Saccharomyces cerevisiae S288C: one gene and its partners. The gene in region 1 interacts genetically with each later gene. Each region holds a gene or a part of one and is shown on either strand. Other genes may lie near its edges.

Evidence for each region.
Region 2: mutations in PMU1 (region 1) and CDC21 together harm fitness more than expected from each alone (negative genetic interaction), as found in Saccharomyces cerevisiae (one large-scale study listed by BioGRID).
Region 3: mutations in PMU1 (region 1) and APC11 together harm fitness more than expected from each alone (negative genetic interaction), as found in Saccharomyces cerevisiae (one large-scale study listed by BioGRID).
Region 4: mutations in PMU1 (region 1) and HSP10 together harm fitness more than expected from each alone (negative genetic interaction), as found in Saccharomyces cerevisiae (one large-scale study listed by BioGRID).

What each region holds. Positions count from the first base shown.
Region 1 is NC_001143.9:200,384-203,762, reverse strand, and holds PMU1 (putative phosphomutase), read left to right. Parts: upstream 1-1,991; coding exon 1,992-2,879; downstream 2,880-3,379. Other genes in the region: phosphoglucomutase PGM1, read right to left, coding at 1-222. UniProt on the Saccharomyces cerevisiae protein: Probable phosphomutase that may have a function related to the manipulation of phosphate groups on carbohydrates. Reduces trehalose-6-phosphate levels when overexpressed in TPS2-deleted cells.
Region 2 is NC_001147.6:463,296-471,724, forward strand, and holds CDC21 (thymidylate synthase), read right to left. Parts: upstream 4,295-8,429; coding exon 3,380-4,294; downstream 1-3,379. Other genes in the region: YOR072W-B (uncharacterized protein), read left to right, coding at 1,174-1,335; SGO1 (Sgo1p), read left to right, coding at 1,476-3,248; UFE1 (Ufe1p), read left to right, coding at 4,917-5,957; SKI7 (Ski7p), read right to left, coding at 6,082-8,325. UniProt on the Saccharomyces cerevisiae protein: Thymidylate synthase required for de novo biosynthesis of pyrimidine deoxyribonucleotides. Required for both nuclear and mitochondrial DNA synthesis.
Region 3 is NC_001136.10:431,463-439,683, forward strand, and holds APC11 (anaphase promoting complex subunit 11), read left to right. Parts: upstream 1-2,034; coding exon 2,035-2,532; downstream 2,533-8,221. Other genes in the region: YDL012C (uncharacterized protein), read right to left, coding at 11-55; glutathione-disulfide reductase GRX6, read left to right, coding at 868-1,563; YDL009C (uncharacterized protein), read right to left, coding at 1,463-1,786; YDL007C-A (uncharacterized protein), read right to left, coding at 5,105-5,362; proteasome regulatory particle base subunit RPT2, read left to right, coding at 6,585-7,898. UniProt on the Saccharomyces cerevisiae protein: Probably catalytic subunit of the anaphase promoting complex/cyclosome (APC/C), a cell cycle-regulated E3 ubiquitin-protein ligase complex that controls progression through mitosis and the G1 phase of the cell cycle.
Region 4 is NC_001147.6:366,765-374,882, reverse strand, and holds HSP10 (Hsp10p), read left to right. Parts: upstream 1-4,038; coding exon 4,039-4,359; downstream 4,360-8,118. Other genes in the region: DDL1 (putative carboxylic ester hydrolase), read left to right, coding at 1-1,173; protein-arginine N-methyltransferase SFM1, read left to right, coding at 1,444-2,085; MCO10 (Mco10p), read right to left, coding at 2,926-3,198; YOR019W (uncharacterized protein), read right to left, coding at 4,564-6,756; ROD1 (Rod1p), read right to left, coding at 8,001-8,118. UniProt on the Saccharomyces cerevisiae protein: Eukaryotic CPN10 homolog which is essential for mitochondrial protein biogenesis, together with CPN60. Binds to CPN60 in the presence of Mg-ATP and suppresses the ATPase activity of the latter.

The DNA of each region.
Region 1 (3,379 bases):
AATCTTGTTCATGATAACATCGTTGTAGAAACGACCATCTCCTCCAACAACTAAAGTGGTTCCCTCTGAGCCATTAGGGATAGATTGCATTGTTGCTTGAATGAAGTTCTCAGTATAATGAGGCTCATCCATGAAAACCTTGGTCTTCTTACGTAAACCTGAAGTACCCGGTTTTTGGTCCTTATAAGCAACTGTTGGTACAGAATCTATTAGAAGTGACATTTACTATTCAATTGAGTTGTTAGTTACCTATTTTTGCACTATTGAACCGAAAGTGGATGAGAGAGAGAATGTTTATAGGTAGACCAAAATCGATGTGATGCGCCCTTCTCCTTTTCTTGCATCCGTAATATAAACGCGAAATACCAGGTAAAAAAAGACAAAATCTCAAATAGCGAGAATGCCGATTTTAGAACATCATTTTTCTATTTACAAGTATAGCATTGTCGGTACTGAATGCCCTTATTCCTCATGACAGACTGAAACCACCGTGATACAATTGTGGTAACGTCATACATTTGACATTTATCAGGGGAAGACAGAGATCCTCTACTAGGTCATATGCGGGATAAAAAAATCTCCACGTCAATAGTGTAAAATTGTAAATAAAACTGTGGGCATTGCTGTTCTCGAGAAAAGCTGCCACTTGTGTTTGAACGGTGTCGGCTTTAGCATCCTGTTTTAAAAAGAAAGCCCTGTAGGGGGCTCGAACCCCTAACCTTATGATTAAGAGTCATACGCGCTACCGATTGCGCCAACAAGGCTTTTAAACGTGATTGTGTTGTATCTCAAAATGAGATATGTCAGTATGACAATACGTCACCCTGAACGTTCATAAAACACATATGAAACAACCTTATAACAAAACGAACAACATGAGACAAAACCCGACCTTCCCTAGCTGAACTACCCAAAGTATAAATGCCTGAACAATTAGTTTAGATCCGAGATTCCGCGCTTCCACCACTTAGTATGATTCATATTTTATATAATATATAAGATAAGTAACATTCCGTGAATTAATCTGATAAACTGTTTTGACAACTGGTTACTTCCCTAAGACTGTTTATATTAGGATTGTCAAGACACTCCGGTATTACTCGAGCCCGTAATACAACAGATTGATACGACCGTTAGAAATCGATAATAGATTCTCTATAATAGGCTCATTATAATAACTACTATCCCTAAATTCACCTATTTCTCCATATCATGTACGGCAAGTTTTTTTGAGAAGAAATTTATTGTATTTTATACTTCACAATAATGCTTTTAGTAAGATGGGATCAGAACAATCATTACAAAATTTCATTTATAGTTCAGCGATAATGTTCTGAAAAAGTTTCAATTCAATTCACGTGAGGACAATAACACTATGTACAGTAGATAACTTAAAAGTTCTTCTGCCGCGTTTTGGATAATTTCACGAGGGGAAATGGACAATTTTACTTAATACTGCTACCATTTCTTCCCTCGTTTATATCCTTTCATTCATTGCTGGGTTTGCATGGTCAGTCCTTACTAATTAGCTTCCTATAAACTCGATGACAGTTAGGACGCTCACGGACAATTATATTCTGAAAACACAAGTAATACTATTAATCTTTTGTACCAACAATTGATTAATACCAAACTCTTATTCCAAACAAAAGAGGTTCGTACTTAGCCGGTCAAACCTGGGCTGCGAAAAAGTCCGTGAAAATTAAGAAGAGGCTCAGTGTTTTCAGATGAAAGCGATTAAAATTTACAGATATTATCTTCTATTGCGTGGTTGTGCAACGTTTGAATAAATATTTGTAATCCTAATTTCTTGCAGATTCGGATATGACCCAGCAGGCATGTGCGAGTCAAGTTAATTTTTCGGGTGCTAGCTAGTACTGGAAAAAGTAAAAAGTGTCATTTGCAAAAAAAAACCCTCGAGAGATTTGTATGTTATTTAACGATTTCTTTCCAAGACTCTGCTGCGTGAAATCACCAACAGTTATTCAACAATGTCACTCAGAGCAGTCCCAGGATATTTTGCTGCATATCCAAGTGAGGGTTTTCAAGGATTAGACTCCACGAAATATGATCACTTAGAATTGATTAACCATAAGAATTGGAAGGAACTGTATCATGCTATCCCTAGAAATACCAAAAATCGCCACTATAAGCTGTTGATTTTAGCTAGGCATGGTCAAGGTTACCACAATGCTGCCATACTGAGGTACGGTATGGAGAAATGGGACGCCTATTGGTCGTTGCTTTCGGGCGATGAACATGGAGAGTGGCTTGACTCTAAACTGACACCTCTGGGTAAAGATCAAGTTAGAAGAACAGGATCGAATGTCTTGCTACCAATGGCAAAGCAATTAGGTATGCTACCTCATGTGTTTTTCAGTTCTCCAATGAGAAGATGTCTCGAAACATTCATTGAGTCGTGGACACCAGTGTTAGCGGAGACGCAAGAATTACCGGCCGGAACTAAAATTTCTACACGCATTATAGAAGGTCTAAGGGAGACGTTGGGCTCTCACACTTGTGACAAAAGAGTGGCTCACTCAATGGCAGTTGACGAATACCAGGATTTCAGCACGGAATCGGGCCACACTGTACATTGGCAATATGTACCAGATTACCCAGAAGATGATGAATTGTGGCTTCCTGATCATAGAGAAACGTGTGCTGAAATGGACAAACGTACACTGAATGGATTATTTGAACTATTTAATCAATTGTCAAGCGAAGAAAAATTCATCTCGCTTACTTGTCACTCAGGTGTCATTCAAAGTGTCTTGAGAAACTTACAGCATCCTCCAATTTATAACCTGGACACAGGTAAAGTCGTCGCTGTCGTCGTGGAAGTACCAGTCAACACGGCCGATCGCGGCAGGCTCTGAATTTTCCCACAGCGCCCATTCGGGACTTTCAAATATGTGGGTAATTTAAATAATTTTTTATAGATATAATAGAGTGGATGGAATAAAACCCTTTCTTTTCAAATAATGTGTTAAGCACTTTGAGAAATGGTTGAACCTTTCACTTTGATCATCGCTTTCTCAAGCTAGGTGAGAACATACATTTGAGTATAAAATAAAAAATGCATATGTGAAATTATATGAATGCAAAGGGTTCTTAGTTCCTTTTTTATTCTTGTATAGTTTTCACCGCTATGTCCACTCCCTCTTTTATACTATACTAATCGATGCCACAGAAAATATAGGCTTGGAAGTAATAAGCCCCCTTCATATACTTTCGTACAAGAAAATGTAACCGGTACATTAAAACAAACTTCAGTAGCCTCCCCTAATCACTCGGCAGGCAGACCTACGATCTTGAACAACTATTATATAGTAGCAAGATGCTAGCTCCATCGCTTTTCTAACTAAAGGTAAACTGA
Region 2 (8,429 bases), on another chromosome or scaffold:
AAATCCTGTATGTCATAAATCATGAGCTTGGAAATTGACACGAAATATCGGATGGCACTACTTGATGATCGTTTTTATCACTACCGCTGTACTTTAATTTCATAATTTATTTGGTGACATTTCTCTTGAAGATCTGGCAAGATGTACACGGGGAGCTCCTTCAACTGTTAAAAATATTTTTAAAAGTAAAGACGTCACCATACTTTTTCACCATAAGAACAATTACTGGTCCAGATTAAGAACGGTTGGAGTAAGAGCCAATTATCATTCATTGACTGGTATTTCCTTTTGAACTATATTATCATATAATAGGTAAGAAGATGGCAAAAAGGAAGGAGAAACAGTGGTCTGATGTGATAGGGAAGTAAATGTCAACAAATACCTAACAGTACTATCTGATCGAACAAAGAAATTCCACCAAACTGTCAGTAAATTTATTTAATGAGCAGCAAGGACATAGTGCACAACTAGCACTCTACTTCGATTGGGTTATTGAGGAAGAGGATAGTATGCCCGGAATTTTCAAGCATTTACATGATTATGGTTTCATTGGGGTGCAAGAAGACCCAGCATGATTAGATTGCTATGTACTCATTATATAATATATCTCCGATGAATATATTTCCGAAAGTTTACTGAAGGCGACCTTGGATAAACCATAGTTTTACGGCAAATACACCATATCACTATTTTCTTTCTATATAGCTTTGCTAAGGCTTTTTTTAGTGACCGAGACAAAGAAGAAAATTTTCCATAAATGAAAGACCATTGTTTATTCCGAATCAAGTTTTCCGAAGAATTGTTGTATTACACAGTCCAGAGACAGCAGAATCTTTCAGAAATTTTAATACTGTTGTGACAGCATCTTGTCTATTATTTATTGGATACGCAAAACTCATTTTTTTAAAATTTTTTTTATAATTTCCTTTAAATAAAAAGGTTAAAGCTGGGAAAAATGCATCTAAATAATAAACTAATGATTTAGTTTCCCTCATTTAAAATATCTAAGAAGGACAGAACTTTGTTTGGGGTACTTACCCTTGAGTATTTTTAGCGATTATTCTTGGAGTTCTCAGCCAGAAGATTAAAAGAATATATGTTACTGAATGCAGTGTGATACTCAAGACTAAGTAGTCTTAACAACAAGTTAACAAGGGCGTGTGGTCTAGTGGTATGATTCTCGCTTTGGGCGACTTCCTGACTAACAGGAAGACAAAGCATGCGAGAGGCCCTGGGTTCAATTCCCAGCTCGCCCCTTTTATTTTTGATTATTTATTTCCTATTGGTCGGGTAACAGATTTTTTTTATTTTTTTCAAGGCCCTTTTGTTTTGTAAACAAAGAAATTTCACAAAGTGAGCGTCTACTAATATTGATAATGCCATTTCCACATTACAACTACTGCTAGGCGCAGGGTTATATTACTTACACACGCATATATATGTTTAATTGGGTATAGAGGGGTTATTGTTTGACCATGCCGAAGAGAAAAATTGCTCCTAACAAGGAAAGCAGCAGGCGTACGGTCTCCCACGATGATTTAACCCCACAAATACAAGAATTTCAAAACCTAATGGATCTCGAATCGCAAAAAGTGGAAAACATCAGACAGTCGTATTCGAGGCAAAACTCCCTGCTGGCCAAGGATAACTCCATATTAAAAATTAAAGTTAATAGCTTGGAAAAAAAAATAAGCCAGCTGGTACAAGAAAACGTGACTCTACGATCTAAAACCTCTATAAGCGAAGCTATCTACAGGGAACGGTTAAGTAATCAACTACAAGTCATTGAAAACGGTATTATTCAAAGATTTGACGAAATTTTTTATATGTTTGAGAACGTACGTAAAAACGAAAATTTGCCCAGTTCGAGCTTAAGAACAATGTTGAAGAGAACGAGTTCCAGGTCAAGATCATGCTCATTGTCATCACCCACATACTCAAAAAGTTACACTAGGTTATCAAATCACGAGAATAACCTGTCGCATGAATCAAGTTTTAACAAGGACGATGGTCCAGATCTTGAGCCTAAGGCTAAAAAAAGGAAGAGTTCTAGGCGGCAATCTATGTTTGTATCCACGAGTTTAGAACCTGAAGACGAAACCGGTGAAAACGAACCCATGATGGAAAATTCCTCTGTAGAGGTACCGGCAGAATCACACGAGTCTGCGCAAGTGGAGGAAACAATAGATGCCTTAAACCCTGAAGAGGAAAATAGCGATTCTGTCAGTAATTTTACCAATTCAATTATAGAATACTCCATACCAGAGGAGAATCCGACAGAACCCGAGCATTCATCTTCTAAACTAGAAATATTCAATGACAGTACAAATATGCTAAGTACAGTGCCGTCAAATCCTTTGCCGTTGCCTTTACCAGGCCCATCCGCAACTTTACCTACTACCACTAGCGATGCTTCAACGGTCTATCCTTCATCAAGTTCTTCTACTAATTCTCATCCAAAGACCAAAATTAAGCATTCCATGAAGCCGCCTAGGATAGAACTGAAGAAAAAGGTTATTGACGAAGTCATGCCCGTAAGTAACATGAGCAGCAACAGCGAAATATCATTTACGAGAACTAGAAGAACTCGTGGTAAAGCTGTAGATTACACTTTGCCTTCTTTAAGAGCCAAAATGAGGAGGCCTTCAGAAAAACTTGTGGATGCTACTACTGTGATTGATATACATGATCTACAGGTTTCCAAGAGAAATCGGGAAACTTCACATAAAAGGAAAAGTTTATCCCAAGATTCAATACCCGACGAACCGCAATTGAGAGAAGTCGTCGTCTCAAAGGATTATGGAACTCCAAAAGGGAAAAAAACGGAAGATGAAATACACGAGGATACCGCTCATCTAATGACCACTTCCAACAACAACAGCAACAACAAAAACGAAAAAAAACTAACTAGCAACAATAGCCCTAAAAAATCGTCGCCTTTACTTGACATTACAAATAAATCGGAGAATAAGAAAAAGTCAACAAGAACTAAAAAATTGTTCAAAAATGCAATTGTCAATAATTTATCTGATGAAAATTCTACTACGCGACCCTCCAAGTCGTCAAAGGGAACCAGTAATAATAACAACAATTACAACAATTTCGACAATAACAATTCAAACATTAATAATGTTAATAATAAATCTGTTAGCTTTAGACTAAATGAAGATGATTTAGCAGTATTTGATTTATTTGGAAATGGTAAGGCAGTGAAACATCAACCAAAAACATATCGCACCAAAAAATGATATATAGTCTTTTTGCCCTGGTGTTCCTTAATAATTTCTATATTTTTGCATAATAAACCATTGTATTATATACATTCGATTTTGTGTGTATATACGTAAGTACATGATTTTGTTTCTCCTCGTGCTGTCAATTATACACTCATTTTCATTTGAATTCTTGGATGAGGATTATAATCTTCAATTTCAAAGTCTGTCAACTTGAAATCATCAATGTCTTTAACGTCCCTTTTAATCTTTAGTTTCGGGAATGGTCTTGGATTTCTGGTGATTTGTTCTTTCAAGGCATCAATGTGGTCTTTATAAACATGTGCATCCCCCAAAGTATGAATGAACTCACCTGGCTCCATGTCGACAACTTTAGCAATCATTCTAGTCAACAAAGCATATGATGCAATGTTAAATGGTACTCCCAACCCCATATCACAAGAACGTTGGTACAATAAGCATGAAAGGCGGGGCTTACCGGATCCTTCTCCTTCTTTGGGGAAACTGACATAGAACTGTGAAAAAATATGGCATGGCGGCAAAGCCATTTTGTCAAAATCAGCTGGGTTCCAGGCACTCATAATGATTCTTCTATCGTAGGGATTTGTCTTTAGTTTATGTATAACCTGTTTCAATTGATCAATACCTTGTCCAGTATAGTCGTCATCGCACGTCTTGTATTTAGCACCAAAATGCCTCCATTGAAATCCGTAAACGGGCCCCAGATCTCCTACTTTCCTATCTTTGAACCCCATCTTATCTAAATATTCACGAGATCCATTACCGTCCCAAATCTTAACACCTTGCTCAGACAATAGGTTAGCGTCTGTATCACCGGCCAAAAACCACAATAGTTCAAGTATGATACCTCTAGTAAAAACCTTCTTGGTCGTTAGTAGTGGGAAGGTATCATCACGTAAACTAAAACGCAGCTGGGGTGGTGCAAAAAGACTCAACGTACCAGTGCCTGTTCTATCTGGCCTAAATTCACCTTCATCAATGATTCTTTTGCATAGATCAAGATATTGCTCTTCTTCTTTGTTTTTTCCGTCCATAGTCATCCTGTACCGTTCTGTTATGAAGCTCTCTCCTTGATACTTTATTGTTTGATATACACAGTCACTTACAAGTTTAGAAAATACAATTACAGCTATGCTATAGTAAATATTTCAGGAAACGCGTCAATTAAGGTCTTTTTCATTTTTTCTATTTAACGCGTCACCAAATATTAAGTTTGAGAAAGAAGGTCAAAAAAGCAACACCTCTTCCAACCTGTTCAATGCGGTCCTACGTTGAGGACACAAAGCTAATCTCTTTGAGGTAGCTGCAGTATAATGACGGGACCTTTGCATATTTTATTGGCCTTTTCCAATGAAACTAATTTTTTAATTGAATCTCAATCCCGTCCTTTACAGACGAGAGGGGAAAGAAGCTTGTTCGCATGATCCATCCTGGAATATGGATACATGTCATGTAATGATAAATCATTCCTACCTTTGCTGGTATCTTTCTGAAAAGGGCACATTTAATTAAGAACTGCCAACAAGGAAAGATCTCCGTTACCCTACCCAACTTGTGAGCTCAGATGAATGAGAATAACTAGAATACATACACATACGTCTAGTATCATTTCCCCCGGTGCTGGGAAATCACCCGTAAAAGCAGTGAAGAGCTTATTAACTCATGATGTCTGATTTAACACCAATATTCCGTAAGTATGTTGCTGTTATCGATGATGCTAGAAATGAGCAAAATGGTATAGATGATCATGTTGAAAGGAAACAAGAGGACTTCGGGAATTCTAATGAAACGTGTGAAATGTTTAGGGATTCGTTTATTAAGGAATGTGCAAGACTATTGAAGTTCCTAGTCGAATTAAACAAGGTAATAAAACAGATTGAAAAAAACTATTTAGATGACTTTAATATGAGTGATGCGGAAAAGGACGAGTTTGACATGGAATGCAGGCTGCAAATTCAACAATATTTCAAAAAGTTTGAATTCCTAGAGAATTACGAAATGGAAAGGCATAATTTGTCGCTGAAAAGATTTCAGTCAAAGTCTCACAGATGGTCAAAAATACTTTCCAATAAAAACGACAACACTAAGCATGTGATACATCCGCAAGACATTGAAAATGGAGTTTATGAATTTAGATTAGGTGTCCTACGGTGTTTGAATTTGTGGATAAAATATGTTTCATCCAAATTCACTACCATACAACAGGAAAGATTGATATTAGAAAATAAAATGAATTTCAATTCAACGCCTATGCCTACTTTATCCAACAATGCGGATGATTTCTCTGCAGATGCAATAGACATCTCAGTGTCACAATCTGCTCCCGTAGAAACTGTACAAGACGAAGTAAAACATTATGAAGAGACGATATCCAAATTAACCCAGGAGCAACTACAAGTGTTGGAGACAGAACATTCGGAACTGCTAAATCAAAAAAATGAGCAATTGAAAAAAGTGGAGACTATAAACAAAACAATTTTAGACATTGTCAATATACAGAACGAATTGTCCAATCATTTAACGGTGCAATCTCAAAATATAAACCTAATGCTGAACAATCAAGATGACATTGAATTGAATATTAAGAAGGGAAATAAAGAATTACGTAAAGCGAAACGAGCTGCTGGAAGAACTGCTAAAATGACCACTTATGGTGCCATTATCATGGGTGTTTTTATATTGTTCCTAGATTATGTAGGTTAATATCACTTTCATAAGATATGTGTAAAATGGGTTAAAAAAATCAATCTATCATCAACTTATTACTATTCATTTTATATATTAAACAATAAGTATGAATGCCTAGTATAATTTCTTAGTTGTAGGATTACTGGCATGCAATTCTGCCAACTGCGATAACCTTATGATCTATTGATGTTAAAACAATATTGTTGGTAATGTATTTGGAATCAATCACATTAAGAGCAAAGTCTGGTTCTATAATTTCGACTTCGACAATAAGTGACTGATTTGGATTAATTGAGATGTCGTTAGTCCCGAGAATCTTCACCAATTTTACCGCGTTGTGCGTCAAATTATGGTAAAGAAGCAATTCAGAACCCAAGTCAACGGGATCACTTAGCGCGTGCGTTTGTATTGATAATTTTATTAAACGCAAGGCTAACAACTTTAGTGTGTTTGGTAAATTCGGTGATAGTGTATTCGTCTTTCTAGAGTGAATTATTATATCACCCTTACGAATGTGAAATTGCTTTTTCGTGAAGTCTTCGGTATTATGAATCTTAACAAGAACCTCTAAAATGTCAGGGTTCAAACCGACTGATATATTATTTTTTGTGTTAGTCTCCAGTATTTGTTTTGAATTCTTCATTCTTGAAACTATACCATAGTAATGAAAATCTTCATATTGTGTATGAATTTCAATTGTCTGGCCTGATTGAATATATCCGCTGTTGATCAAGACTTTGAGTGACACGTAATTTATCTCCGCTATCGGTTGAAGAACAGAAGATTGCAGTATTGTGCCTACAAATGGCTCTTCCAAAGTTGTTTCTATTTTGTTCATATTATGCTCTACCAATAGATATAGTTGCGAAAAAAATGTCGGACCTTCATACCATTCGGGAACATAATTTATAGAGTCAAATTCTGACTTATACTTAGATTTTGTGATGTTTTCAGTTTTATTCAAATTCGAACCTAATAAACCCGAACACGGGATAAATTGGAATTCTGCGTCTGTCCACTGAAAGTTTTCCTTCAACACATAATTTAGCTCAGACTGAATCATTTCTAGTCGGTGCTTATCCCAACTAATTAGATCTGCCTTATTCAAAAGAATTATCAAGTGCTTTTTGCATGCGGAATTCTTGTTCAAATAAGAGATCACTTTTAAAATTTCATAAATCTGATTATTTGGACCATCTAATGATTTTTCCCACGAGTCATAATTGCAATCAATAACCAATACATAAACTTCAGGATCAAAGGTCAAAATTGAGTTCAGAGTTTCTTTATTGAAGTATTTGATACTACCAGGAGTGTCTATAAGCGTCAAGGTTGATGATGGCGGTAGTAAATCATTTTCTACCTGAATAACTTTCTTAAACATGGAAAATCCATTTTCTCTTTCTGTTTTGGTATTGTCTAGAATGACCTTAAAACTATTTGAAGATGAAGGATCCAAATTACTGCTTTTTTTTTGTAGTTCCCTCATTGATGACATAGAAATTTCGTTTAGATCATATAAAAGATGACCAAGCAAAGTGGATTTGCCTGCGTTTGTATCACCGAGGAACAAACATGTCAAATTCAGAGGATGGGTGGCAATGAATGAATGAATATCAATCGACTCAGTAGGTGGTGTTTGAAGGTTAATTGGTTCCTTTTTTTCGGCCTTGGGCACAGATTTGATATTTAAGTTTTCTAATTTTTCATTGAAAGCATTAAGTTGGGCCGATTGTATTATATCATCAGGACTTGGTCTATTGAAATTCTCAATGGCTACTTTACGAGTTGTTTTCGGCAGGTTACAAGGCACAAAAATACCAAGGAGCTCATTGTTATGCTTTTTTAAGGACAGAAATGATGAATTCTGCGACGATAGCGGTATTGATGTACTCAACGAGTTTTTTTTATCTTTTATGATAAAGTTTGTGAACGCAAAATCGTCGGTTTGATTTATGCATGGATCGTTTTTCAAGAAACAGTAATGGTTCATTTCTTTAATAGCCTTCCATGACTCTTCTAAGTTGAGTTTATCATCAGGCGATTTCCTTTTGGTAGGGAGTTCGTTTTCTTTGCTGTCTAATGTCACTGATTTTCCTTGTTTCTCCAAATCACTATTTGACTTCTTTAAGGCAGACAACTTTAAACTCAATGAAACACTATGCTGGTTCGGGGTAAAGTCGCTTCTTTTTACCTTGTCTTTTGCAAGTAGCGTCTTCAGATCCTTCCTTTTTGTCTCAGCATTGTTATCTTTAGTTTCTCTATTCTTATGTAGTCTTTCTAGTAAGGATGCACTTTTCGATGTACTATGAGACTGGTCCGCACTTAAAAGGCCTTTAGATTTTTCTATTCTTTTTCTTGCTAATTGCTCTAATAACGACATGTCAGGTGGTACTGTAAGTTTCGAAGACCACCTCCTCGTACGTGTATTGTAGAAGGGTCTCTAGGTTTATACCTCCAATCTGTTATAGTACATATTATAGTACA
Region 3 (8,221 bases), on another chromosome or scaffold:
ATTAACGTACGCTTTGTTTGGAGGCAGAGTTTCCGTAATAATCTTGAGCTGACATGAGATGTGTATTTGCTTGGTTTATGGGCTATTGTATGGGTTTGTCTTAATATCCTTTTCGGTTGCGTAAATACTTTTTATATTTCAATATTTCACGATGCCGCTGATAGCATCGTTTAATACGAAAACTTCGAGCCATTTACCAAGAAATATTCTGGACTAGGTGGAAGGAAGCTTCGAGAACTCACCGTGGCTATTCAAGGCTGATGGACATATGTACTGGGCTGAGCTTAAGATCTCCCATTACTGCTCCGTGGGGTTTTATGTGAAATGTGGCGTTTCAGCAGTTTTTAGTTGGCTAATTTCCTAAAAGTAGTAATTAGTTTCTTATGATGGATTTAATGGCGTAGTTCATCCGCGTTTAATTTAACTAGAGGATAATCTACTTGCAGCATGAATGAAAATAGTAAGCCAGTAAGGATGCACTGACAGACTCAGCTACCGATTAGTGTTGTTGACTTTTCCGCAAGATCCTTTTCTCCCTCTTTGGACCTAGTCATCCCTCCACACAAGATTCGCTCTTAAGTAGTGGCGCAGGCTGTTCGCTTTTAAGCATAGTGCTTAATGTCGAAGGCTTTATAGATCCCAAATACTACGCCTTGAGAAATTGAATGCACTAGCAGTTAGTTAACTTTCTGGAACGCGCATGACGCGTCCCGGGGCGCCTGAGGCGGAGCGTTCGCGAAATCGGGAAAACATTATACTGGGAAAGATCACTATCTATTCTCTAAATGAACTTTTAAGCAAATTATCGTAAGATAGAAAAGACGAAACCTTAGCAACCTAGCGGTTTAATATAGAAACAATTTTATTATGATACCTTCCAATAAGAGAAATGCTAGAATTTTAAGCATTACAACGCTATTATTGTTGTTAGTGTTTTTCGTAGCGCAAAATGCGAACTTCTTGACGGTAGAGATAAAAGAGGAAACTTCTAAAGCATTTAGTACTAATATGGACAATATGGCTGGAGGATCTTCCAGGGAATATGCTGCTATGCCGACTTCTACCACGAATAAGGGGAGCTCTGAAGTAGACGAAGAAATTAATGAAATAAAACAGAAGGTGGGACTCCAACAGCCCATAGCATCGGTTGATGATAGTTTGTCGGCCATTAAAAACGATAAAGGGTCGCGAATAACCAAAGCTTTTAATGTTCAAAAAGAATACTCCCTCATACTAGACTTGTCTCCGATTATAATATTTAGTAAAAGCACCTGTTCATATAGCAAGGGCATGAAGGAACTGCTTGAAAATGAGTATCAGTTTATCCCAAACTACTATATTATAGAACTTGACAAACATGGACATGGGGAAGAGCTGCAAGAATATATCAAGTTGGTGACCGGTAGAGGAACTGTTCCAAACCTTTTGGTTAATGGAGTATCAAGAGGAGGTAATGAAGAAATCAAGAAACTGCACACTCAAGGGAAACTTTTAGAATCATTACAAGTCTGGAGTGATGGTAAATTCTCGGTTGAGCAACGTGAAAAACCTTCCAATAATTGAAATTGTTACAAAAAGGAAAGAAGAAAAAATTAAGAATAAATATATAAATAAAGAGGTCGTGAATGATTAGGTCGTGAAATGCAGTGTAGTTGGAAAGGCGTAGTTTTCCTAGCACAAGGCGTTTCGGAGTTGGAATAAAGAAGCTATCACCAACGAAGAAGCTTTTTTGTCCAAGACATCTCTTAAAAGGGTTGTGAAAACATAAAACGCTTAATGCCTTCATATATACATATATAAGTTTATGGTTTCGATGTTTACAATAACTTCTATCCTTTGCTGGTCCATGCACTTCACCTTGGTAAGTTATGCAACGCACTTTTGTCTACGCCTGCATTCGATATAAAGGGTAAGCTGCCGAGATAACTTTTGTATCTTCCGTGTCTGCAGATAAAAAAATAATGCATTCTTCAAAAACTTTGTACAATATCGGGAGAGTTTAACAAGCAAAGTGGCAATACAGATTATAAAAATATGAAAGTTAAAATAAACGAAGTGCACAGTGTGTTTGCTTGGTCATGGCACATCCCTAGCACATCTGATGAGGACGCAGCCAATAACGATCCAATTGGCAATGATGAAGACGAGGATGTCTGTGGTATCTGTCGTGCCAGTTATAACGGTACCTGTCCAAGCTGTAAATTTCCAGGCGATCAATGCCCTTTAGTGATTGGGCTATGTCATCATAACTTCCATGATCATTGTATATACCGTTGGCTTGATACACCAACCTCAAAAGGACTGTGTCCGATGTGTAGGCAAACTTTCCAGCTACAGAAGGGTCTAGCAATTAATGACGCTCATGTCCAAAAGTTCGTTGAAATAGTTTCAAGAAGAAGAGAAGAAATGATAGAGGAGGGCGTCGCAGAAGAGTTTGTGGACTTTGATGAACCAATAAGGCAAAACACCGATAACCCAATCGGTAGACAGCAAGTTGATACCATCCTGGACGAAGACTTTTTGTTACGATAAAAAAGAAACTTAGAAATCACAATTAGCTATATTTCCATACGGTTCTTTTCTTGTGAACGCTGTTAACATTCTGTATACTTAAATGAAAATTTAATATTGATTTTTTCTTGTTGCAGCTAAAGATAAAAAAATTTTCTTTTCCAATCGTTGAATAGATGTACTGTAGCCGGAACTGAAGTTAAGGTTGTTAGATTGAAAAAGAACAACAGTGTACTAATCATGCTAACGATGACAGCGGTATCGTTGCATACTTAGAATACATAAAAATATGCTTCCAATCGGATTTGAACCGATGATCTCCACATTACTAGTGTGGCGCCTTACCAACTTGGCCATAGAAGCTTCTGATTTGTGTTCATTTGATTGTAAGTTAGAGTATTTCAAGCTCTAACTCAATTATGTGAACTTTCATAAAATTGTGTTATTTTTGAGAAATATGTGAGTTGTTAGATAATTGTTGGGATTCCATTGTTGCTAAAGGCTATAATATTGGTATACAGAATATACTAGAAGTTCTCCTCGAGGATATAGGAATCCACAAAAGGGAATCGATAGTTCTACATAATGTTATTATTTTATCTTCTTTCCTTTTATGCGTTGTCATTCATTATCCTATTACATTATCAATCCTTGCATTTCAGCTTCCATTAGATCGGATGACTGTTTCTCAATCTTTATGTCATCTTCTTACACCGCATGTGATAATATAATATTAAATAGATGATATTAGAGTTCAATTCCAACAATTTTCATTCTAGATAGCGGGAATATTACTGGGTATTCAGTATATCACAACGTCTCTTACAAGATAGAGGATACTACAAGAGGGAAGCAAGAATCATACATGGTAATGTTGTTTTTTCTTCCCCACATTTTTTGTTATCATTCGTTATTTATTATATTTTCAATGCTTGCATTTGCAGCTTCCATCTCATCTGATGACTGTTTCTCAATTCTTATAGTGTGTTATCATGTACGGTATTAGATGATGACATAAGGTTATGAGAAATTGTCGTCGAAGTTAAAGGAAGCTGTATTCTGTATACATAATACTATAGAATTTACAAACAGTGGAATTGCAACAATTATCAAATTATTCACCTAATAATCACCTTTAACATTCAGGGAGGTTTATTTTTGCTTCCGAAATTTTTACAGTCTACAGGGAAGAAATAAATATTTAGTTGAGAAAGTTTTGTTTATTTGTAAGTTATTAATTTGAAAAATAAATACCATAACTAGCGCAAAGCTTATAAAAGAGATGTTTGTTGAAAAATGCAGAAACCCCATATATAAAACCATGAAATGTCACAATGGACATGATGTACATTCTTGGAGATAACATCATATTCGAAATATTCAATATGCCCAATTGGTACCTGTTCTCCATACCCCATTATATGATACAAATGATCTGCCCCTATTCTAACACTGTGCTAGCAACATAGCAATTATACTAAATTTTTTCAGTCACTATGCAATACATGTAATCTCTCAACTACCAAGCAGTCATTATTCTATTAATATATATTTGTGCTTGGAAGTATTGTTTCACTTCTCAGAGGCCTTTCTTGACATGTTATAGTTTTTTAGGTACCTTCTAATCCTGTAAATTTATACAAAAATTGGTATATAATGGCTACCTCCGGAAATTTTAACAACTTTTGGGTCACACTATTACTGTGTATACTTCCTTTAGAGATCTCAAGCATTACTGAAAGATAACCTGAGGAAAAACATAGCGCGTCTACGGATGTGTAATACTCGCTGGATTTCCTGGTAAAAACTACTGTACATTTATCAGCTGCCTCTGCCAATGCTATTGAGAACCGTAGGTTCATTAGAATTACTTCATTCAACGGAAAACGTCACTATACCTGCCGCTTGTGTGTCGCGTCAGTAACGCCTTGACAGAAAAAGAAAGAAAAGAATATGACCGACCGATCGATGTATTATTATTATTGAACTGATTATAAAAAATTGGAACGTCGTAGAATCAGAAATCATAAGACAATGGCCAACTATGCCAAATCACACATCAATATTTAACCGAGATAGCAAAAGAAAATAAATTTCGATTATTTTTAAAATGTAACTGACAGTTTTTGGCACTTGTGGACTTCCTCTTTCCGGCAGATAGCAAAACCAACGGTAGAATGGCCCCGAAATTTAAATTTTATTTCATTGTGTGCTTGAGCGTGGCCTTTTTTTTTTTTTTTTTACATATCACAAACAATTCACACATTACCACACATACCATAAGCTAACGTATGCGGTGCAAAGTTCACTATTAGGCGCTTAAAGGCTTGGAACGAAATGACTTCTGGCTTTTGTTTCCTATACACATTCTTAGCAAAACTTTTGGTGTTGTAACAAGCAATGAGATAGAGAAAGAAATATATCCATCAATGGAAGAAATAGGCAGACGTCGGTAATTTTATTCTATTGAAAATATGCAAAAGTGACAGTATAAATTGAAGTAACTAATTTTACATCTAGTAAGCTGCTGTTGAAGAATTGAATAGTATCGCAGTATTTATTTTGTATACCCTTAGAATACACATACTTGGTGTTAGAAGCCATCTAATACACTATATAACTCGGGGATTAAATCATCTTGGAAGAGCGAATCTAGTTCAGGATCGCCTGTCGTAAAGTTCGAGGATAAGGACATCGAATTTAGTAGTAGTCCTAATGACTCGATGTTATTGTCTAAAATTTGTTCAATTTCTTTTCCTGATTTATCATCGTCTTCTTGAATAGGTAAACAGTAATATTTACCAAAGTTCAGGAGGGTTAGGATGGTGTGAAAAATTATAGGAAGGAACATCAAGAAAGTGCTTGAAATATTTTTCTTGGATTATGGAAGTATCAAGAACGATATTATTTCAATAATGTGATGGTTTATATCTTTGCATACAATAGATTTTGTGATACTTTTTTTATGTAATGGTCCCGTAACCCCGTCGCTCTTTCCCTTTTAATTTTGCCCGATCCACTTTCTATGCCGGTAGTTTAGCCGCCAAGTGCTATTTTCAAACGAATCAATAGTAGCGGCTGCAACTTTGAAAAAGAAAGAAACAAAATTATGCGCTAGTTTTCCATTTCTTGTATTCTTTTTTCTTTTGCGGTGGTAATTACGGGAATTTAGTGATGTTGGAACGAGAGTAATTAATAGTGACATGAGTTGCTATGGTAACAATCTAATGCTTACACCGTATATTAATGTACACCTCGTATACGTTTAAGTGTGATTGCACCTATTGCAGAAGGAATGTTAAACGAGAAGCTCAGACAATACTGAAGCTGTGCTAAAGATCTATTAATTGAACATGATATGGTAGGTACATATATGAGGAATATGAGTCGTCACATCAATGTATAGTAACTACCGGAATCACTATTATATTGGTCATGATTAATATGACCAATCGGCGTGTGTTTTATATACCTCTCTTATTTAGTATAAGAAGATCAATACTTATTTCTTCATTAATACTATTTTTTACCTCTAACTATCAACAAGTGATAATTGTTGGAATTCCATTGTTAATAAAGGCAATAATATTATGTATACAGAATACAGCTTCCTCTAACTTCTATGACAGTTTCTCATACCTTATGTCATCATCTAACATTGTACATTATAATATACTCGTAGTAAGACTACTAGTTGAGAGAGAATAGTTGATTTTTATTCTAACAAATAATATTCCAGCAGGTTTACATATTCCTAGGTTTGGGATATATCTTAAGTCAATAATTCATCATTAGTAAGGCAACTTGGCCGAGTGGTTAAGGCGAAAGATTAGAAATCTTTTGGGCTTTGCCCGCGCAGGTTCGAGTCCTGCAGTTGTCGTCATTTTTATATTCCCAATATTTTTATCACTCCGGGTAACGAGTTATTAACGGTTTTTCTCCGGTGGCAAATGTCTCTTTTCTTTTACCTAAAAGAAGGTTAATGTGAATATTAGTGAATATGATGCGTATCAGTGTCAAGCTTACAGTCAATTCAAGTTAAAGAAGAGACAGCGTTTTTAATAGAAAATAAAATGGGACAAGGTGTATCATCTGGACAAGACAAAAAGAAGAAGAAGGGATCTAATCAGAAACCCAAATATGAACCTCCCGTTCAATCTAAATTTGGTCGTAAGAAAAGAAAGGGAGGTCCAGCTACTGCTGAAAAATTACCCAACATATATCCAAGTACTCGTTGTAAGTTAAAGCTTCTAAGGATGGAACGAATTAAAGACCATTTGTTATTAGAAGAAGAATTTGTCTCTAACTCTGAAATTTTAAAACCCTTTGAAAAGAAGCAGGAGGAGGAAAAGAAACAATTGGAAGAAATACGTGGAAATCCATTGAGCATTGGGACCCTTGAAGAAATTATAGACGATGATCATGCGATAGTGACAAGTCCAACTATGCCTGATTATTATGTATCTATCTTATCCTTTGTCGATAAAGAGTTACTAGAGCCTGGATGTTCTGTGTTATTGCATCATAAAACCATGTCCATCGTAGGTGTTTTACAGGATGACGCCGATCCAATGGTTTCGGTCATGAAAATGGATAAGTCGCCAACAGAATCATACAGTGATATTGGTGGCTTAGAATCTCAAATTCAAGAAATAAAAGAGTCTGTAGAGTTACCGTTAACACACCCCGAACTGTATGAAGAGATGGGTATCAAACCTCCCAAGGGTGTGATTCTTTATGGTGCACCCGGTACAGGTAAGACATTGCTAGCAAAGGCTGTTGCAAATCAAACATCTGCCACATTCTTAAGGATTGTTGGCTCAGAGTTAATTCAAAAATATTTGGGGGATGGTCCTAGGTTGTGTAGGCAAATTTTCAAAGTAGCGGGTGAGAATGCACCAAGTATTGTATTTATTGATGAAATAGACGCCATTGGTACTAAAAGATATGACTCCAATAGTGGTGGTGAGAGAGAAATTCAGAGAACCATGCTGGAATTGCTGAACCAGCTGGACGGGTTCGACGACAGAGGGGATGTGAAGGTGATTATGGCCACTAACAAAATCGAGACTCTTGACCCAGCATTAATCAGGCCTGGGAGAATTGATCGTAAAATCTTATTTGAAAACCCTGATCTAAGTACTAAGAAAAAAATTTTAGGGATTCACACTTCCAAGATGAATTTAAGTGAGGACGTTAATCTTGAAACTTTAGTAACAACAAAGGATGATTTGTCAGGCGCCGATATCCAGGCAATGTGTACAGAAGCAGGTTTGTTAGCCCTTAGAGAGAGAAGAATGCAAGTTACAGCGGAGGATTTTAAACAAGCCAAGGAGAGAGTCATGAAAAATAAAGTTGAGGAAAATTTAGAAGGTTTATACTTGTGATGTGCCCATTTACATTTTTCTATAATAGATTTACGTATATAAGTAATGCTTCAACAAAGCTTAATATGTGTACATTTTGTATCACGTGCAATATTTGTTTCAAAAACTTAATATAGGTAGGGCGTCGGGGCCTTCGCGAATTCTAACTGCAAAGGAAAACTGGTGAACACATCTGAGAGGGTTTGTTGTCCTAATTTTATAGGAAACTAAAACTCAAAAGACAAAGTATACCTTTGCAAATTGAAAGCTTAGTTAAACATTATTATTCGTGTGTTTGAGGTCACTTTTTTTCGTCTTAAACAGCTCTCAAAGTTGTCTCAAAA
Region 4 (8,118 bases), on another chromosome or scaffold:
ATAGAAGATGGCAAAAATTCGGGCGCAAGCGATAGACAAATTAGAAGTAACAGAAGAGATGTGGATAACTTGATACTATGCGTTCACGGTATAGGTCAGACTTTGGGTAAGAAGTACGAATACGTAAATTTCGCACACACGGTAAATCTACTTAGGTCTAATATGAAAAAAATCTACAATAATTCTGAGAAACTACAATCATTAAACACAGCACCTGATTATAAAAGCAACTGTAACGTTCAAGTGCTACCCATCACCTGGAGGCACTCGATAAGTTTCCAAACGGATGCTAAGGAGGAAAATATAGAAAATCCTGACCTACCGACTTTGTCACAAGTCACAGTAAATGGAGTGTTACCCTTGAGGAAGCTACTGGCTGACGGTCTACTAGATATTTTGTTGTATGTCGAACCATACTACCAAGATATGATTCTACAACAAGTAACCTCTCAATTGAACAAAACATATCGGATTTTTAAAGAATTTAATCCAGAGTTTGATGGGAAAGTCCATTTAGTGGGCCATTCGTTGGGTAGTATGATATTATTTGATATTCTATCCAAACAAAAAAAATATGAATTAGAATTTCAAGTAGACAACCTGTTCTTTATTGGCTCACCAATTGGATTGTTAAAGTTAATTCAAAGAACAAAAATTGGTGACCGTCCCGAATTTCCCAATGACTTGGAGAGAAAATTAACCGTACAGAGACCGCAATGTAAGGACATTTATAATGTTTACCACGTCTGTGATCCCATTTCTTATAGGATGGAACCTCTTGTTAGTAAAGAAATGGCTCATTACGAACAAACTTATTTACCACATTGTAGTGAAGCTTATGGACTAACTTCTAAAGTTTTGGAATTTGGCGAAAACATATGGAAAGATTTGCCAGGTACTGATGAAAATAATTTGCAGTCCAAAAAAACTTCTCCAGAAAAAAAAGAGGTCAAGTTATCAGAAAATCTTACGAGAATGCTTACAGGTTTGAATTACACCGGACGTCTAGATTATGCTATGTCTCCAAGTCTGCTAGAAGTGGATTTTATATCAGCTATAAAATCACATGTTTCTTATTTCGAAGAACCGGATATTGCAGCGTTTATCCTAAAAGAAATTTTAAGTAAACATGAAAATGCATCAGAAATATATGTAAAAAGAAAGACTGGTTGATCAGTAAACGCAAGGCACAAGTTTTTTTTAACTTTTTTCTTTACTGTCTATTATAGTTCCACTGTGTAAGGTTGTATTCTTTCCGTACTTCAACTTGCGGGTAACAGGATTGACACCTTTTCAATTTTTTCCGTTATTTTGGATTAGAAATTTTCGGTAAGCTCATCGAGTATTGTAAAAGAGCAATGCCCTTTGCTTATTAGATGTTGAGGGGCATATCTATTGTTAATATAGATTGATACAGCTGTGGAGATTATTTCTAGATATACGATGAAGTACATTATTGAGCATATGGAGGAAGGGTTTAGTGAATGGGTCATTTTAGAGTATAGCCAAATCCTGAGAGAAGTAGGAGCTGAAAACTTGATTTTATCATCGTTACCAGAGAGTACCACGGAAAAGGACATCCCTCAAAGGCTACTAAAACTTGGTTTAAGATGGACTACAAAGGATTTGAAGGGCATTAACGAAGATTTCAAGGATTTGGAACTGTTAAAAGATGGCAGAGTCTGTCTATTGGACCCTAGGGCTACAATCGATTTACAGCCGGAGGATGCTACGAAATTCGACTATTTCGTATTTGGTGGCATATTGGGTGATCATCCTCCAAGAGATCGTACCAAAGAACTAAAGACTGCCTATCCGAATCTTTTAATTAGCAGAAGACTAGGTGATAAACAAATGACTACGGATACTGCCATAAGAACAACACAGTTGATTATCAAAGACAGGATTGCATTTGAAGACATCAAGTTCATTGACTACCCTGAATTTAGGTTCAATAAAAATGAGGCCACGGAAATGCCATTTAGATACGTTTTAGATAAAGAAGGTAAACCTATTTTGCCTGAAGGGATGTTGGATTTGATCAAGAAGGATTCTGCTCAAAGTTTGGACGATCTGTTGATGTAGATGAGAACAGTCCTTTAAGTAACATTCTATGGTTGTAATAAGTGATGATGCTTCCTTGTCAAAGAGTTAGTTGAAAAGTTTAGGGTCGTAGCATTAATTATATTGTATATAGTTCAAAAACGACATTCAATGAAAAAATCAAGTTTATTAGCCAATGAATATTTCGTATTTTGCGTTAGTAGCGCTACCAAGACTTCTGAAAAGTGCATGCAAGAAAAATAAAAACAAGGAACCGTTTACTTTTATGATATCATCATTGTCAGGCCAAATAGGATAAAATTGATTGGTTGTATTATGCTTTTTAATTGAAAAAAAAAGTAGAAACTTTTATTATTTTATTTAAATTAATTTCTTTACATTACTTGCATCTAAAACCAAACGAGCTGGTGACTTCAAGCACTGCACTAGTTGCCATGGCTTTGCTAATTCAGACGACCCCCTTGAGGTGAAAAAATAGTCTCAGTAATGAAACAATCATAGGCAATTAGTTCGATTTTTTATAATTATCTTCCAGCCTTTCAAATATTGAAAGGCCATCAACTATCACTTACACCTGAGTGTTGTCATTGATCCGTAAAGTAAAAAGAGGCAAGTTTTGTGCATATTCGTATCATGCACAATGGCCTAAGGCAAGTATTTTCAGTGTTTTTTTTTTTTCATTGCCGTTTTGCTATTCAGAATATATTGAATTATATGTATAATGCATACTTAATAGAAAGAAGGACGCTAATTTTCGTTATAGAACAGTAGTTTCAAAAAGTGCTTCAAGTTTATAGAAATCAGTGCATCCCTTCACTGAACGATGAAGAACACCACCATTTCAGAAATTTTTATACATAATCAGTTGGCTTTCGTATCCTGCCTCGTATCTTTCTCTAAATCATTTAAAAATCCTTCAATACTCTTTACGACATCATCGTCCTTTCCCATAGCATCTGAGTTTGAACTTTCACCGCTTTTTTGTTGGCTCAAGGCAGAACTATTCTTGCCTTCATTTTTGGTTTTTGGTTTCGTGGTAAAGTAAGATGCCACTGCAGCAGTAGCGATAAACGTAGATATAGCCAATACGTGAGGTTGAACCGTCTTCCCAAATACTTTGTATGCAGCACCCATTGAGATAGCTATATTTATTTTTGTATATCTTATGTTTAGAAACAGTAGCGACCTTTCTTACTTGTTCCTTCAAAACTTGACTTAGATAACTATTTACCCTTAAACCGTTAGCTCTGTATTATGGACTGTGAAATTACACCTCGTTACCCGAAGTTCTATTATATTTTCAATCCATACTCCTATGATCTCTTCATTGGGAAAAAAAGGTCCACTTTCTCCTGGATTGCTCGAAGGCTTTCCGTAAAGAAAATACCTTTTATTTTTCTTTGCTTTCTTTCTCCATTAAATAGTAAACGCCTCTTTCTGAGGCAGCTGGCTAAAAAAATGTAACAAGGAATTTTATTTTATTACGGTTCAGCAAAGGCCGTAACGATAGTTGTATTATTTTCGTTCATATGTAGCAGCGATGGTAGCATTTTTTATTGTATAAATTGTGGCTTGCGTCGATTATCTTATTATGCCACTCATAATAAAAAGTTACTCTCAAAATGTCAATATTCAATAATGCATGTCTGTCTTTTTAATTTAGTACATACGTAGGATTAGGTATTGGAAGCAATCATAATGAGTTCTAAAGTTGTTATTTCTCACTTATTGCACCTCTCGAAGTTCTCTCATTAGCCGCCCAATTCTCATTCGTGTGAAGGTCATTAACGGGGTAATGCCCGTCATCAATGATAGAAATTTCTAGAATCTTGAAGGAATGGGAAAAAGAAGCTTGATTATGTATAAAATTAGTCAAAACGCTTATACAGTACAAACTTATTATGTGCTAGGTTTAAAATAATTTCTGATAGAAGCCATTGATCGAAAATATATTGAATCTACAGAAAAAAAAGAATGTCCACCCTTTTGAAGTCTGCTAAATCTATCGTTCCATTGATGGACCGTGTCCTTGTCCAAAGAATCAAGGCACAAGCAAAGACAGCATCCGGGTTGTATTTACCTGAAAAGAACGTGGAGAAGTTAAACCAAGCTGAAGTTGTTGCCGTAGGCCCGGGCTTTACTGATGCTAATGGTAATAAGGTTGTTCCTCAAGTTAAAGTTGGTGACCAAGTTTTGATTCCACAGTTTGGTGGTTCTACCATTAAATTGGGTAACGACGATGAAGTTATTCTTTTCAGGGACGCTGAAATCCTGGCTAAGATTGCCAAGGACTAAGAATGATGTCTTCTTCAACAGAGATTTTATATACATACTCTATATGTATGTACCTGTAAATAGGCCATTATGTATGACAGGAAAAAAAAATAATTGAACTCAAATTTCTTCTGCTATTCAGTTGCTGCCCCCAATTGTCTGCTAATAAAATTGATCTATTCATCAATAGGAATTTTAGGGACACTATGTGTACAAACTATCCGCTCATATTTTGCCGAATAAGAACAATGATTTCTTCTTTTTTTTCTTCTTCTTTTTCTTGTCGTTACGATCATCACTTTCAAAAACATCGCCACTGCTACTATTCCTTCTACTGGATGATTTATTTCCAGAGGAACTTCCACTTTTAAACACCTTAAAAATCCCAACTCCACCCCCAGTGAAGGTGTTCACAGTACTAAAACTAGACGAGCTTTTCTTTGACCCTGCACTACTTGAGGAGTCATTAGTTTTGACTTTTCTTAACGCACCGGCACTTTTAACTTTCCTCAAAGGAATGCTATTATCAACACTACTGCTTTTATCAGATGGATCAAAGGAATTTTCTTTGTCGAAGGAAATACTGTGCCTTATATCAGGCAGATTTCTGGCTTTGCCAAGGGCGGCTCTTCCATCTTTGTGTTTTACAGAGGTTGCAAACTTGATTTGGGACGTAGGCGAGCTACTGAGTTTAATAGTTGTTGTGGTATTTTGTTCCTCTGAGGAAGAATATGGTATTAAAGATTTTCTAAACTTTGTGTTTTTCGACCCATTGCCTATCAAAGCATTCTTAAAGCTGGAAATTTGGTCACCGTGACTGGACTGCGATACATTTTTACCAGGCAACGTCTCTATCGCTAAAGAAGACTTCAATGACTCTCTAATTATGATATCAATTTTCTTCAACAAAAGTTTTTCCTTAGTACATTCTCTATCTTTCTCATCGTCTTGTAATTTTTCTATATCACCCGTGATCTTCCTTCTTGAATGCTGGGCGAGACCGGTCAATTTTCTTGGAATGGAATCATTAGAGGTGTTGAACTGCTTTTTGATGTAGCCTTGCCTTTTGAAATCTTCGGCGTACGAATCTACGGAAATATGTGAAGAAATATCTGATATTGTATTTTTTTTGAACATTGAACTGCTCATGCTCTCAACGTCAGTGTGTTCGTGCTTCATATGATTTTTTGAGACATAATGTTCATTTACTTCTCTTTGTAGATTCAGTTCGAACGAATACATTCGTTTCGAGGGAACAACAAATGTGGGAATCGGATAACTAACAGGAAAGACATCTGTCAGCTTTTTGGATTTATATGTAATAAGATTCTCATTTCGCTCGTGCTTTAAAGTAGCAAGAACTAAGAAATCTGGAGTATGGACATTAATGACATCTACCAGACTTTTTTTAATTTTGCCTACAATTATTTCTAAAGTAATTTTGACGGATATTTTGACCACTTTTACTAGCTGTAAAATATAATCAAAAATGTCGTTTAATTTTTGATCTATTACTTCTTTTTGATATCCCGGTGCCCATTCTGTATCATCTTTTGCAGTTTTTTTCCTGTTAGAAATCATTTTTGGCAGTGTAGTTATGACAACAATGTGATCAAGATTTCGTGCAAACTTGTAGACTGTCCAGTCTAGGGCAACCCACGTATGTTTTTTTCCGTTAATGTGACAAACTATTGTCTTAGGGTTATTGGGATATCCGACCTTTTGTTGAAGTATTTTATGCTTTCTTTTTTGTTCTTTTGTACATGGTGCACTATCATCTCCTCTATATAACGGTTTAATACGCTCTTCAGAGAAGATAAGTTCTGGGTAAGTAAACCATTTTTTTTTGTCATTCAGCCTTTCATTTATTTGTAGTTTTCTTTGGCGCCATAACTTTATCCAGTTCTTTTCAAACCTGTTTATCATCAACGTTTCGTTGACAATTACTGGCGTGCTTGGATAGTCTCTCCTCACTATTTTTCCATTCTTGGATACCAAGAAATATTTTTTGATGTCAGAATTCTTTTCCAACAACTTTGAGGATCTCATTGGAAAACTACTGGATTCAGATTTGTTCTCTTTTCTAGTATTCAGAAAAGGTGATGATTGGAATGTATCTCTCAAATAATATTGCAAATTTGGCGAAAAAGAGTCTGTTTCATCGTCATAGCACTCTTCCATCGTGTAATAGTTGGGAACAGGTACACCTTTGAATCCTTCCCTGCTGTCGTCTATAGAAGAATAACCAGCGGTGGAAGGCACTGTGTCAAAGGCAACAGATGGTTGGAAACTGCCTTTCTTTTTGGCCCGTTTTTTAAGGTTTTGTTCATTTCTCTCTTCGAATTGTTGTCCTGGAACATCGAATGTGAGGCTTCTGTAGCATTTTTGCAAGTCATTTTGTGGGCAAACAGAAATCATAATAATTTAAGGTTGACTTGCCAAAAGGGTGCGTGATCTATAGCAAGTTGAATATTAAAAGCCTTTTTAATGAGGAGTCCTTATTTTAATACGTGTTGGATTCGATGTCCTTTCTTTCTGGTCCTATGCATTAGTGTGGATGGTAACGAGACATGAACCCAGAAGGATATATATGTATCTATCTGCAAATCATATTGCTACTAATAATGGTAGATTGCCATTCACAAAAAAGCCGCCCCTCATAAAACTCAGCCGCGCAAGCTTTGAAAAGGGGCGAGCGGCTGAAACAGAACGGTCTTCTAGAAGGCTGATTCAGCAGTAATTAAGACAAAAGCAGTACTACCAGCAAGAACATAGGAGGTGATTGAGTTATTAATTGAGGTACATCTGAATTGCAAGAACTCTAAATATTTTCTTTTGCGATGAAAAACTGATGCTTGTGTGATTAACATATAACGTAATTCATTGAGAGAAAAGAGCAGCTGTGCTCGAGATCAATGAGTTGACTATAAAAATAGCAATTTCCGTAGGATCGCAAAGTTGGCTAACCGTATAAAATGGGAGGATATATACGAATGATGTCTGTGGGATCTTTAACATTTAATTAGAAAATTTTGTAGTGCCAATAATTGTTGAGGAAGAAGTGCCAAGTAAAGAAAAACAGATCTTCTGAAGCTCATTGTATTCTCATTATATTCTCTCAAAAATACGTTCGTATAACTGATTAATCCTGTTTTTCTAATCACTATTTTAATGTTTCAATTGAGGGATTTTGCCTTCATACAATTGTTGAGAGAAATTTTCCAACAAGTATGGGAAATATGAGCAATTCTTATCTTTTAAAAACAAGAACTGGTCCGATATTATTCACCTCAAACATATTGGACGAGATCATTTTTAAAACGTTAGGGGTGGGGAGGATATCAATAAGTTTTCATAATTATGTTAACCTTCAAGCCATAAAACCGAGTAAGACCACTTAACAAAATCTATGAGAAGCCTTGCGGCAGAATCTGACAACTTCAGTGAAATTTTTTTGTGATTATAGAAGCATAAACTACAACGCCGAATTGTTTTACTTTATAGCAATTATGAGGTAGTATTATAACATTATATTATCATTTTTCAAGTGGTATGAGGTATGAAAGTACTCTATCAAAGTATATATGCTTAACTGTACAAACGTGTATGAAGTATTGCTCATATCTTTTTGTCGAAATTTCGAAGACAAAAAATAAAGCAGTCTATGAGCGATCCCGTTTTGTGAACATCTCCATTAAATTAGCAAATGAACCTGTTCCTTGTCTTAATGGTGAGTTGCTATTGTTGCTCCGAACTGACGATGAGCGTGACCTTCGATTG